Linked DNA regions of Alligator mississippiensis. The protein of the gene in region 1 interacts with the protein of each later gene in a pairwise test. Links are inferred from orthologs where the notes say so. Each region holds a gene or a part of one and is shown on either strand. Other genes may lie near its edges.

The links.
Region 2: the proteins of TRIM39 (region 1) and CCNC interact in binary tests that used the Homo sapiens proteins (3 or more experiments, as listed by UniProt). The two-hybrid records come from large-scale screens. The link is inferred for Alligator mississippiensis from reciprocal best matches to the Homo sapiens genes TRIM39 and CCNC.

The regions. Positions count from the first base shown.
Region 1 is NC_081834.1:53,845,862-53,852,861, forward strand, and holds the start of TRIM39 (E3 ubiquitin-protein ligase TRIM39), read right to left. Parts: upstream 3,022-7,000; 5' UTR 2,929-3,021; intron 2,833-2,928; exon of another isoform or gene 2,711-2,832; intron 2,640-2,710; exon of another isoform or gene 2,115-2,639; intron 1-2,114.
Region 2 is NC_081824.1:85,518,322-85,525,361, forward strand, and holds the start of CCNC (cyclin-C), read right to left. Parts: upstream 3,018-7,040; 5' UTR 2,894-3,017; coding exon 2,862-2,893; intron 561-2,861; coding exon 454-560; intron 1-453. UniProt on the Homo sapiens protein: Component of the Mediator complex, a coactivator involved in regulated gene transcription of nearly all RNA polymerase II-dependent genes.

The sequences.
Region 1 (7,000 bases):
CATATCGGTCGATACAGATCCGATTACCAAAATGTAGCCGTGCAGCTTGGAGAGCAGTGTCTGGCTGGTAAGTCTGTTGCGTGTGAAGAGGCATTGGGGGGAGGCGGGGGGGGGGCAGGCAGATCATTGCCCCCACAGTGAGGGTGGGAGTGGAGCTGGGACAGGTCATGCACAGCCAGGGTGGGGCACAGGATGAAGCCATGAGCAGCTTGTCCGGGGGGTAGCTCCTGGAACTGCACGCACCCTATGAGGGCATGGCGGGGGGTAGTGGTGCCCCCAGATCTGCATGGGGCAAAGGTGAGCTACCATTGTGGGCTGGGAGTGGTGCAAAGCTCTTCCTGGAAGAGTCCTGGGCTACACTGTGCTCAGGGCTGGCAGCAGTGGTGCTGGGAGGGTAGCTATGGGGGGGCTGCAGTCACCCCTAAGTTTGCGATAGTCCCCAGTTCCAGCACCACTGGCGCCTGCCCCAAGCACAGCCCGGCCCAACCCCCCTGCTGGGAACAGCCTGGTGCCACCCCTGGCCCCAGCCCTCAGCAGCAGCCTGCCCTTGCCCCCCACAGATGTCGGGGCACATGCCCCCAACGCCCTCCTGGGTTGTGTGCAACAGGAGCTGCCCTTCCCAGAGGAGTCACTCTCTGTCCCTTGCCCTAGCCACACTCCTTCCCTCACCCCAGGGATCTTGATTTCCCCCACCCCTCTTCCCTCACAACAGACTTACTAGCTCGATTTGGCTGCTCTCCAAACTGCCAGGCTGTGCTCCTGGCTGCCTGCATGCTGCACTGTGGCTGTGCGCATACACAGGGCATTTATTTGCTACCTTATCAGCCACATCAGGCAAAAAAACCAACTGCCAATACAGTCAATTTTCCTTATATCGGTGCCGATCCGCTATGGGACCAATGTATCAGTGCACCTCTAATAATTATATTTATACCATTAATGCATTACAGTTAACATTTAACATTTTTTGACACATGGTTTGTGTTTGCTAGGGTGGAGTTAAATGAATTATGTTTTCAAATTACATTGGCCGAGTACTTGCATGATTTATTGGTACTAGAGCACGAGTCCCTCAGCCCAATGTGTCCATCCTGCTGTACCAGCGTTGTATGACCTTCAACCCAACCCACAGGCATGTGTTATTAGTTAAATGGTTAACCAATATAGTCAGAAGAGTCTAAACAGCTAATTTTTAAAGTGATATTTACATCCCTAGAGCTTGCCCAGCACTGAAGCGCAGCTGTCTCTGAGGCAGGATGCAGCGCTCAGCCATTGCAGAGCAACACTGAATGTTAAAGGTGGAAAGTGAATGAGATCAAAACTGTGCAGGTGACGGGGAGAAGTTCACTGTTTTTTAAGTTGTACATGTTGCTTGGCTCTGACAGTCTGGCTTTGCACGTGGAAATCAAAGCAGCTTCAAGTAAGAAAGCCTGACATGCTGCAAGACGCTTGTTGATCTGTAAGGGGGTGACTCTGAAGCACTTGTCTGAGCAAAGCAGAACCTCCAGGGACCTGAGGTGGGGGGCGGGGCTGAAAAATTAGAAGGGGAAGAATAAGGAAGCCAGTGTCATCTCTCAGCGCAGCTTTGGGCTCCTCTACAATTGCCTGCAGCGTCCAAGCAAGACGATTCCCCCATCTGTCTCGACTCTGCCCAGTCCCCCTACGAAGCACCGAACACCCTGCATTACCCATCTTTCAGACAAGGGCAAGGATGGAAGGAAGTGAGGGGGACCGCACACGTCCCCAAACTGCAGCGGGGGAGAGCAGGAAACTGTGAGGCCCACCACAAACATCTATGCCCCTTAGAAGGGGGGACACAGAGCACAGCCGCCGACTGCTGGAGACGAACATGCTGCAGAGGGGAGTGAGACGGAGGGTGGCAGGGTCACAACCAGCACCCCGCAGCGGCCGCGGGCACTGCCCGGAGCCGTGGGGAGGAGACAGGCTGGGACGAGGGTCACAGGCAGCAGCAGGGACAGCGCGGCAGCGCTGGGACCGGGGGGGGGGGGGAGGGCCCACCGCGTCCCGCGTCCCAGGGGCGACTTTTGCCCCGGGCACCGCGCCCGCCCCCTTGGGCGGGGCACGGGACAGGGGCTCACCGGCCGCGCACTCACCTGCGGCCGCGCGAGCCCCAGCCCCGGCCCGGCCCGGCCCGGCCCGCCCGCTCCTCCCTGCACGGACGCCGAGCCTGGGCCCAGCGCCGGAAGTGACGGACTGGCTCGGGGCCCGGAAGCCTCCGCTACGTTGCCGGAAGTGCGTTTCCTCCGCTGCAGCCAGGAGACGCGGGCCAAAGCAGGAGGCGCGGGAGGATCATAGCGGCTCCCACGCGCGGGCCGCGGCCGCAGCGACCAGGGTAAAGCAGGCGGGAGACGAGGCGCGATGACCAGGCCGCGGCCAGTCCCCAGCCGGAAGTGTGCCTTTTCCGACCGGAAATAAGCCTTCCCCGACCGGAACTCAGTCCTCTCTCCTCCCCGCCTGTCAAAGGCCCCTCAGTAGAATATACCAAACGCACCGGCTGCGCCCCGAGCCGTCCTGGAAGGTACCACACGCCGCCGCCCCGACCCAACTACGACACCAGGTGCACACACGCCGGGCCTGCGTCCCCCACCCTCCTCCATGCCTGGGCTGTACGGAATACACTGATTTCCCGCACGTACCCCCAGCATCGCGGGCCGTACCATCGCGCCCCGCCCCTCTTAGTGATCCGTACCATTCATTCCTTCGACCCCCTCTTTCGGGCCGTACCACATGCGCGGGCCCCGCCCACCTGCTGGAGAGGACCAAATCCCATCGCCTCTCTGTGGACCGTACCAAAATGAGCAACCTCCCATCCAGACTTGAAGCCACCCCGCCCCCTTTCCCTTGTGGAACCGCCCAAATCACGGGTCCCGCCCCCCCCGCTCCTAAAGGCATCCACGTGGAACGTACCAAGTACAGCGAGCGCCTCGGCCCCTCCTGGGACGGACCAAGTTAGCGCCCGGGGGACGCGGCGGCGGCCCGCAACGGGGACTTTGCAGTATCATCCCGGGCAGCCGTCATCCCCCCGCCCCCTTTTGGAGCGTACCAAGATGAGCCCCGCCCCCCACGATGTTGTACGTGCTGGGGGGTAATTGACGCCTCAACAAGGGGGGAGGGGATGTCCCCAAAAGGGGCGGGGGATGCAGTACCTGGGGTGGTGTCCGCATTGGGGGCGGGGGGATGCAGTGCCTTTTGCCCTCTTTCCTGCAAAAAAAAATCCCTCTGGAAAAAAAGAGAGGGAGGCGTGGGCTGGGGGGTTCTGCTGTAATTGGCCCGGGGGGCGCTGTGGGGTGAGAGGTGGAAGATTCAGGGGAACCCAGTGCCTCCCTACTCAGCCTGGCACCAGCGAGCAGGTGCTCGCCCTCATTGCAGTTGTCGTGGGTGGTGCAGCACTTGAACACCATGTACTACCCATCATTGAACTCCCAGGTCCCCTTGCATATCTCGCTGGCATAGCGCAGCCCATTACCTTCAGGCCCACCTGGTTGTCTGCTGCCAGCCCTGAGGGAGGGAAGCAGGGCTGAGCTCTGGGCACGTGGCTGCCCTCTGCCACCCCCCTTCCCTGCTGTGGGGCAGGCCTGAGGAGACGGGCAGGAGGTGGCTGTGGTGGGACACGGGATGCCCTTTGGGCAGGATAGGACAGAACAAGGCAGGAGAGGCTGGTCAGGAGCAGCTGTGGGCACGTACCTTGTGGGGGTTGTTACTCTCCTGCTCTTGGGGCCAAGATGGGATGAGGTTTCACTTGGTCAGCTACTGGGATCAGCATCAGCTGGCAGGTGAGAAGATAATGTTGGGAGAAAAAGGGAGGGGCTGTTGCCTTTGGCTGCCAAGGGGGAGAAGGCGCTGCAGCCAGAGCTACTGAGGGAAACAAGAACAGGACAGCAAGACACCTCAGTCCTTATGGGTCATGATGAAGATGGAGAGGCGGGATCCGGAGCATTCAGGCACACAGTTTGTCTCAGGAGGTACACAGGGCCCAGAGCATTGGCTAGAGAGAGACATGAGATGAGCATGTGTCACACCATGGCCACCACACCAAACCACCTGCCAGCCCTGATCCCTTGTGTTGGCGGAGGCGTAGCAGAGCAGCTCTGCACTTGGGGTAACCGCAGGCTCCTGGGACAGAGTGGGTTGGTGACATGTGGATTGTGGCTGCTGCAGCAGTGGCTATTTGCGCCACCCCCACATGGAAACAGATTGCCCCCCTCAGTTATGCTACTTCCCAGCGGGCTTGCTTTGAGCATCACTCACCTCAGCCTCCCTTACTTCAATCTGCCCCTGGCCTGAGGGCAGGATGAGTGTCTGGCTAATGACAAGCAAGGAGCATAGGTGCTGACATATTTTTGCCAGGGAGCCTAAGATGATGCCCCCACCACCATCACCGGGCAGCATAGCTGGAGCAGAGCCGAGCAGAGTCCACGGTGGGGGGCAAATGCCGGCTGCCCACTGCAGGCTTGGGACTGCCTCCCCTGCTGTCCTCGCCCTGGGAGCCCTGTGCCAGCCACGCTGCCATGGGGAGACAATTCCTGCCCTCCCTACCTCAAAAGCAGGACAAGCCCTGTGTGTTTCACGTCTGAGTGCAGCTCCTGCTGATAGGACTTACCTACAAGCACAAAACAGAACAGGGCACATGCAGTAAGGAGCAGGGCTCAGGCCATGCTGGGCTCCTCTGGGTCAAAGGCAGGTGCTGGGGCAGGGTAGGAGAGAGCTTCCAGCTGGTAGAAACTGCAGTCTGAAGTGAGAGGAGAGACAGCCATGGACGAACTTTATCCTCCTGGAATACCCTAGGAGTTGGCACCCACAGGTAACTTCTTGGGAATGTGGGTAGACAGAGGTGACTGAGCAGAGACTGAGCAAGAGCTGCCCACACAGAGAACAGTTCCTGCCTAGAAGGAATCCCCCCAGGCATGGAGTCAGTAGCATGGGCTGGGAGTCAGGACACCTGGGCTCTATGCCCAGCCCTGACAAAAAACATGAGCTCCAGGAGATCAAAGCTGAAGGACCGGGGGGGGGGGGGGGGGGGAAGGACTCCTGGTTTCTGTCCTTGGCTTTGGGAGGGGAGTGGGGCCTAAAGTCAGGACAGATTTGTTCCAGTTAGACTAGGAACCCAGGAGGGAGGTCCAGTAGAGGTTCTCATCCTCTTGTGGGGAAAATGACAATTCTGCCTTGTCCCATGAGGGAGTCACATGGGGTTACCCTCTCCCCAGGGCTGTCATCAAACTTTCAACTCAGGGCTCATTCATTTGGGACTAAGGCAGCCTGTCCCATTTGCTCTTAGCAGTACGGAGTCTTTGACAACAGAGCAGGCCTGAAGGTAGCCTGGGGTAGTGGGTAACATGGGGTAGTGACACAGACCACCGGAAAAACGTCAAAGTGTGTGAGTTTCTGTAGCATTGTCCCATACAAGATGGAAGAGGCCTTGCTTTGCTGTGTGCTCACCATGACTCTACCCTTCTATACATCTCTCCACTAGCCAGATATGTTCTGCCCTCCCGAGGCACAGCTGAGTCCAGGACTCATCTGGACACCAGCAAAGATTCTGGTTCTCTTGAGCTGGCTGTGCTCCAGCAGGATCTCCTTGCTGCATCAGTTGTGGAGAACAAGCTTTGTAAAGCAATGTTAAGTAACCTCTGTGTGGATCTGCTTCCTGTGAGGAATGGGGATATTGCTGTGTCTGAACAGAACAAAGTTGAGATGAGCTCCAGGTAGCCAAGAATGGGTGATATCAGGGCCAGGAGACTGAGGTGGGACAGAGAAATGTAATTGCATCCTGGTGAGTGTGCACACCTACCAGGATTATAGGCCCTTCCAGTACCTTGCATTGCACCAAGCACCAACTTCAGAAAACCAAGGGAAACAGATCTTATACATGCTACCCAGCCTCTCTCCTTTCCCTGCAGCTGCCAGTAGCTACTTGGAATTGCCTGCAAGCCTTCCTGCCACATTTTCTACAATAGGTGTGGCTGTCCCTTTGCTGTGCGGCCTGTGAGGAGCAGGTGGCCATTGGTGGTAATGGTGGGTTATCACTGTGAAGAGCCCAATGTCCGATGACATTGTGGATATAGAGCTGGAGCAGTTGTTCAGTTAACCAGCTGGGGTGCTTTCTCTGCAGACCAGGCTTCATACTTCCCTGTAGGGCAGGTGTTGGCAGCTCCAGGTTAGTGCAGTGCAAAGCCACAGTGTGGTTGATGGTGACATGAGAAACAGTAGTCCCAGAGGGCAGTGGAGGTTGTGAGCCCTGGAATGTGCAACACCTCTTCATTTTTGGGCAGGTCCAAACCCCATTGGTTTGGCCGAAGATCTTTGCTAGCACACCTCTATTTTTTTCTTCCGCTTCAACCCACAAGACCCCATTCTCTTCCCAGGGAGGAGAAGAGAACCCAATTGTGGCTCCCAGCCTACTGCTCTGATCCAGATTACTTCCCTCCTTTCCCCGTGCTAGAGACTGAACCCAGTAACTGCTTCATTTGGGGAAAAAAAAAAGATGCACCGTGCTTTTTTTTTTTGTGGGGGTGGGGTATCTTTGTGTCTTAGGTGGCTCCTCACAGAGACACAGACATCACTTTAAGGGGCGATTACAATGTCTCCAACACTCATTGATCCACCCGAGCAGAAGGGAGGGGCCTGTACTATGCCCAGTTCTAGGAAAGAAGTGAGGCCCAGTGGGCTCAAGCAGGAGCGGGGCAGGGAGGAAGACTGAGGCAGAATTCCCTGTGTGGCTAGAGACAGGGCTGTGTGTGTCCCTCCTCCCACTCTGCCTTCCCTTCAAGACAGTTAGCTGGTGTGCAGAGACTGTCACCTGGAGATGCCCCATGTCAACTGCATCTCTGGAATCTTCAAATGCAATACCAGGGAAGAAGAGAAGTTCGTGTTCATTGTCATCAGTCACAATGAGGGGCTAACTGTTGTTGACCTTTCTGTTCTCCCCACCTATCTGCACCAAATCCTTTTCTTCTCTGGGGAAAAGTGATGCTTGGCTGTC
Region 2 (7,040 bases), on another chromosome or scaffold:
GGCAACCCCAGGCTGCACTTTCCACACAGGTGCAACTGGGGTCTCCGTGGAAACTGGCCCAAGCCATGAGGGCAGGAGCAGCTGGGAAATAAGAATCCACAGCCAACCAGATCTGGCCCACAGGGTGGAGTTTGCCCGTCCCTGCAATAAAGACACTTAACTTTTCTGTCCTATTCTCTGCCTCAATGCCTGAGAAAATGAATGTTACCTACTTTACTAGACTGATAATAGGAAGGAAAACTTAACAAGATCTCTCATAACATCTTTGAGAAATATACCTGCATCTAGTTCATACATCTTTCAAATGCGTATATTAATATAACTTTTTAAACACGTTAAGAGAATATATACATAAAAATAGGAGAAACCGAAGCTCTAGGTAAATGAACCATGAATTCAGATACATAGGTGTGACCCAAATTAGACAGCTAATCAAAAATAAAACCATTTTACCATTAGTAAAAAATATTTGAAGTTTCCAATATTCTTCTTCTGCTAGAAATTTCAAGTCCTTCTGGCGTTCTTTCAACAGATCTTGTTTATCCAAAATCCACTGTAAACTAGGAGGGAAAAAAATAATTCACAAATATTATACAGTGACTTGTGAACAAATAAAGTATAGTTCATATCTGGGGATGAAACAGGCTGGTGTGCATCCCTTTAATTGAGTCTTGTAATGCTAGATACATTCTTGCAAAATGAATGCTCATTAGGGCTTTCAAAATCAGGCCCTTTGAGGAAAAATAATCACCAGAAATAAGAGGCCTTCTCAACGCTAAAAATGTCAAATGCATTAGTTATTAGTTAAAAATAAAGTCTGAGAGATATACTACATACAGATTTTATTTTAGATGCCACACATTTAAATTCAATATACCCAGTGCTAACGATACTTGGACACAGCTCATTCTATGCCAACTTTTCTATAGGGGAAATATATTTGATTCGCTGTGACTTTCTTTGCAGGAAAAGCTTTTAAATCTCCTTCTCCCCCTCTCTGTGGTGTAGATAAGGGATGTCAAATCTCTCTTGGATTTTATGGCTCAATCTGGCCTCTAGCAAGGCTTGTAGCATCTGCATCAGCTCAGGGAACCACAGCCATCATTGAAATATGTCCCTGGTCATACTCTGAAATACCTGCCAGAATTCAGTGGTAGCCCCTGTCTCTCCTTGCCCTGCCCCCAAATTCCCAATCCCTCCTGAAGCCCCATGGACCAGATTACATGTTTCTGCAGGTTGTATCTTTGCCACCTTGCACCTCGGTGCAGATTATTAGATACTAAGTAAAGACCAACACAAGCATTCCCCAAGACTTTCCTTTGACAGCCTTAACAACGCAACGGCTTTTTAAAAAGCAAAAACTGCAAGACAAGTTTTAAAAAGCTGGCTTTGCACCCACTGAGCAGCTGTGTTTTATAAATTCATAGATTGTTAGGGGCTGGAACGGACTTTGGAAGATCATCAGGTCCAGCCCCCCTGCACTTGGCAAGAAAGATACTTGGTCAGGTGCCCCCCGCAAGGTGACTGTCCAGTCTCCTCTTGACGATTTCCAGGGTAGGCGATTGTGGAATGAGCTCCCTCCAAAGGTGGTGCAGTCTGGACACCCTAACTTGTGAAGAAGTTTTTCCTAATGTTGAGCCAGAAATGGTCTTCTAAGAGTCTGTGGCCATTACTCTTGGTTCTCCCCAAAGGTGCTCTGGAGAACAGTTTTTCACTTGGTGTACTCCCCTGATAGCAGAAAGCTGCTACCAAGTCCCCTCCCAGCCTTCTCTTTTTTAAGCTGAAGAATCCCAGGTCCCTCAGCCTTTCCTTGTATGGCTTGCTGTGTAAGACTCTGATCAGATGGGTGGCTCTTCTTTGGACTCTCTCAGGCTTGTCCATGTCCTTGTTAAAGGGTGGTGCCCAGAACTGGATGCAGTACTCCAGCTGCAGTCTCACCAGTGCTGAGTAAAGCAGAAGAATCACTTCCTTGGTTTTGCTTGAGATGCATTGATTGATGCATGCCAGAGTATTGTTTCCCTTGCTGGCTCCAGCACCACGCTGCCGGCTCATATTCATACTGTGGTCTATTACTAGCCCTAGGTCCCTGTTATTTTTTCCCCCTTAGTATTACTACTTGAGTTCAGACCTTTGAGTTAGGTTTTGTATGCCAGACTTTGGTAAATATGCCAGACAGCCCCCAGGGAGGAGGAAGAGGTGGTTGCGACTGACTTGGAGAGCTGCTGCAGTCACAGATCCTGCATGTGTATTTGGTGCATGTTGGGGGAAGAGGGGAGCAGCTCATCTGTGTGTTATGCACCCTCCTGAAACCGACGTGAAACCCATCAGCTGCTGGTGCGCCTTCCAGTTTTCCCAACATGGGATTTCTTTTCTGGCCCACAGTCAGCTTTCTTCTCCCAAGCCAGGCAGCAAGAGAGAGAAAAATGAAAGGACTTCCAAAAGAGCAAGTAGGCAGAGGAAAACGACTGGCTGTTTCAAGACCCTGGTGACCCAACACGCAAAACATGCTCAGGCTTAGTCATCATAGAGAAGTGGACCTGCAGAGGTCATCGAGGCAGGGTCATCCCTACCAAAACCACCCCATTAGGAACAGGACCGGCTCCCCTGGGGTCACTCCCATGGGCAGCCCCCACAACCAGGGGCTACAGAAAGGCTGTTTTCAGACCCCCTGGCACTGACAGCAGGGACCAGCAACGTGGTGGGCGGGAATCGCCTTGCACCCCCATGACACTCACTCGCACGTGCGTTTAGGACCCCTCCCCCGCCCCCCGGGACGTTCCCCCAACGGCCGCCCCGCCTCCCCCCCGACAGCCCGGGGCCGCGTGCGCCCCGCAGGGGGAGGAGAGGGGGTCCCCACTCACTAGTGCGAGCTCTGCCAGAAGTTCCCCGCCATGGAGCGGGCTCGGGGGAGGCGGCTCTGCCCCCCCGGCTGACCAGCCCCGCCACCCCCACGCTGCCCCCCCCCGGCCGGAGCAGCTTCGCGAGCGGCAGCAGCGGTGGCGGCGGCAGGAGGAGGAAGGAGGCGGTCGCCGGGGTCCCGCGCCCTCACTCCGCCGACCGGCAACGCGCCCAGAGACAAGAGTTCCGCCGCCAGCGCGCGGGTTCCGCCGGACGGGGGACCAAGAGCGGGTGCACCGCGCTCGGCCCCGCCCCCGGCCCCGCCCCCTCCGCCTGGCCGCGGGTTGGGCTTTCGTCTGGGGACGGGGCTGAGACTGGGGAATTGTCAAAACTGGGACGGTGACGCTGGGATTTATGATGGGATTGGGATTGAAACTGGAGGATCGGAATTCAGGCTGGGATTGGGCCTGGGAGACTACAAATGGGAGACTTGGATTGGGATTAAAACTAGGGAATTGGGAGTCAGACTGGGTTTGCAACTGGGATTGAGACTAAAATTGGGTCTGGGGGACTAGAAATGGCAGACTGGTATTGGGATTGAAACGGGGATTGGGAGTCAGGCTGGGATTGAGACTGGAGTCTGGTCTTTGATTGGGACTGGGAAAGTGGGATTGAGTCTGGGGGACTAGAAATGGCGGATTGGGATTGAAACGGGGATTGGGAGTCAGGCTGGGATTGGAACTGGGAGACTGGGTTTGGGTCTGGGGGTCTAGAAATGGGAGCCTGGGACTGGGGGACTGGGATTCGTGCCAGCTCTGAGTTGGAGTGGGCTGTTGACCCATCCCAGGGGATCTGGGCAGTGATGCCCCAGGGAGTTTTCTCCGTGTACATCTGACCATCATCACATCTACCCATCAGCACTGCTGCCAGGCCAGGCAGGGCCCCTGTAGCCCTGATGTAAAGTTGCTTGTTGCTGGCCCTTCTGCTGGGCTGAAGCCCAAGTAACAATCTGTGCCGGTGTGGGGGGTGAAAGTGATGTAAGTGTGTAAGAGCTAATACAAGACTCACCTGTTGGAAACCTGTGCTGCGTGTGCTGCTATGAATGTTCAGTGTGTTGTAGCAGTGTAAATCAGGGGTGTTGGACCCACAGAGCTAGATCTGGTGCTGTTTGGGCTCTAGTGCTGCAGCTCTCACTGGTTTAACCAGTTGCCTGGGTGAGAGCAGCAAAACGAGCCCCAGCAGCACAGTGAGAAGTCCAGCAATGTAGTTTGTTCCTGTGGTGGCAGCTAAGCTTTCACGATGCCAGGCCACTTCGCCGCAGATCCCAAATGAGCTGGAGCAGGCACCAAGCGTGCTGGATCTGGCATGGGGATGGATGGGCATGATTCAGTCTGTAGGGTGAGCCCTGTACCATTCATCCAGCTCATGAAGCCAGGTGAGTTTGACACTCCCTGGAATAAGCAGTTAAATTTTGGGCAGGAAGCAGCTGGCACTCTTGCTTTCTCACTCCAGCCTTTCCTGCCAACTAGTTATACTGACAGCCTCTCAGTGCCTGATCAACCTTCAGAGGGGTTGAACTCTACCATAAAGGTAACAGGTACTCTAATAGGACGGAATTCCTTGTTTCTCTGCTGTTGTCTTTTACGGAACCAGCCACCGGGCTGGACTCCATTAAATTCCAGATACTGGACAATTTAATGACAACTGTGAGTGAAGGAGGACACCTTCTCCCTCTGCATGGGAAGGGATAAAGATGCAACAGGAAAAATGGGAGAGGGGTTTGTACCAGTTGAACAGTAGCCTACAGCTGTGGTTCTTAACCCTTTGAGACTTGAAGGATCCCTCCATAACTTCTGTGAATTGAGTGGCACCCATTTCAAAAACTAATTTACTTCATTTATAGCTCTTACCTGCTTGAAGAGGGGCTGTGAAGAAAGAGGAGTAGCCAGCAGGGAAGAACCTGTGTTGCAGTGAGTGGGTGGAGGAGTCACTGCTGATGAGCCTGCACTCATCTCTCTGGAGCCTGTGTTTATCCCCCGTTCTGCGTCACCCTTCAAAGGCTACTGTGGCACTCTGATTGAGAATCACTGCCCTAGAAAAATAGAGCAGCCTGAAATATGTGCAATGTGTGTGTGTCCAGGGCATACTTAGCTATCTACAGGCAGACAATAGGAAATTCTAGGGAAATCCCTGTGCTCTGGCCCCCAACTCAGGGTACACTGTCTGTGCCTTCATCAGCTGGCAGTCTTAACCCTGTGGAGATGTTTACCTGGGCAATGGAAGAGGAGGGAAAGGAGCCACTTCCCTTTTGCCAAAAGCCAAGTGGCATGGGCATTTGCCCACAAAATGGGATACTTGCATGCCAGGTTTCACTGAACCTGAGCGGAGGTTAAAGCCATTTCTTCCACTTCCCAGAAAAATGCTCTTGCCACTAGGCCGGATTGAGGGTATCCTGCATTCATCCTGTTGAGACTGAGAGACAGGAAGGGAAGGAATTAAAAAGTCCTGGGGCTAGAACAGTAAATGGGAGGGAGCAAAACTTTGTATCTTGTGAGGCAGCCACTACAATAATTGTGAAGCCGTGGTGGTGCTCCCAATGGTGTTTATACATTTTATCCCAGGACTACTGGATGCATGAACAGCATTGGGAATAAGGAACAGAACCAAGGGCACCTTCCTTCCCCATATCATACTTCTCCCTTGCTCTCCTTGCTGAAGGCTGAGTGGTTTGGTTTGGTTTGATTTGGTTTGGTTTGGTTTGGTTTGGAGATTTTTATGACAGTTTGACCAGCCTAACTGATGACAAATTCTTGGGACACATTATTTGAGATGTCCTGTGCAACTACTTTGAGGAAAGGGCATAATGGTTTAGATAGGCTTTTGGGGATGTTCTAGCTATGAAGTGTTGGTTTTATGGATTTTAAATACAGTGGTGCATGTCAGTTTACTGACAGGATCTTGTGCAGTTGATCAGCAGGATTTATTGTGCATGCTGTGTGCACTTTCATTCATTTTAAATATCAGGTATCTTTTAGTATATGTCCAGTATGCATGTCTGGGCCTCCAGGTAAAGTGGGCTTATTGTTGACATGCTATGTAGAACCTCTTCAGATTCCCATGCATTCTGCAAACAAAGATGCACAGATGGATGTGTGGAAATAAATTTATTTTATAATTAAACAATATCTGACTTGGAGTGGTACCAGAACAAACAGTGCCAGGAGTAGAAAACCTGGAACATTTAAAATATATTGTGAACAAGCAGTGTGGATTAAATTAAAGGGTAAGGGAGATTTTACATAAGAACTTGGAGGACAGGTACACAAAGGTGAACAGCATCTGTGGGGCTATGTGGGAACATTGGGCCTTGGTGGTGGGGCCTTGGTTTGAGAGGGTGCTGAAGGTCATTTCCCTGCCAGACTGGAATGAGCTGTGACACAGGGTCCAACTAGTGAATGTTTGCTCCCAGTCAGGTGAGTTTTCAAAAGTCTGGAAAAGCTTCTGGCTACCATGGTGCTGGGTGGGAAAAAGTAGAAGGTGAGTGGCAGCTTTGGAACATGTTCATCAACAACCTTGCCTCTTCATAATGGCCACGAACTATGGCTGAATCTTCATGTTTATTGCATTGTGCTCTCTGTCACAGAAGGGTTTTGCTCAGTCACTTATAATAAAAAAGCAAACAGTGATGTCTGCCATTTCCTTTGCAGCTTTGTTGGTAGCCTGAGTGTTCTCAGCAATAGAGCTGGGCAGGCTCAGGGAGTTCAGCTCAGTCTTTGTGTAGGATCTTACTCCAGCTCCTTTGAAATGAAAAACTCCTGGCTGTCAGGCACAACCTCTTGATAGGAATCATCAGTCCTGCTTTCATCAGTGTCCCCTTCTGTGAGGATGTCTGTGCTTGAGATAAAATGTGTGTCTGTGCTGACTTCCTGTAAAAAATCTTGTTCAACTAGCTTTATACTATGGACTGATCTCTGGACCACAGACAGAGGCACACAACATCACTCCAGCGTAAAGTTACTATTGGTTCCAAAGAGAATAACATCTCTGAAGCAACTCATTGGTTACACCTGTGCAAGTTAAGTCATGTGCACACCCTTCTTTTTATATTAATGCAACCTTGTTTACACCAGTGTAAACTGCCTATGTAGGTAAACTCTTGAGTTTCTTAACAATAATGGACCTGATTCTCTTCTTTCTTAGTT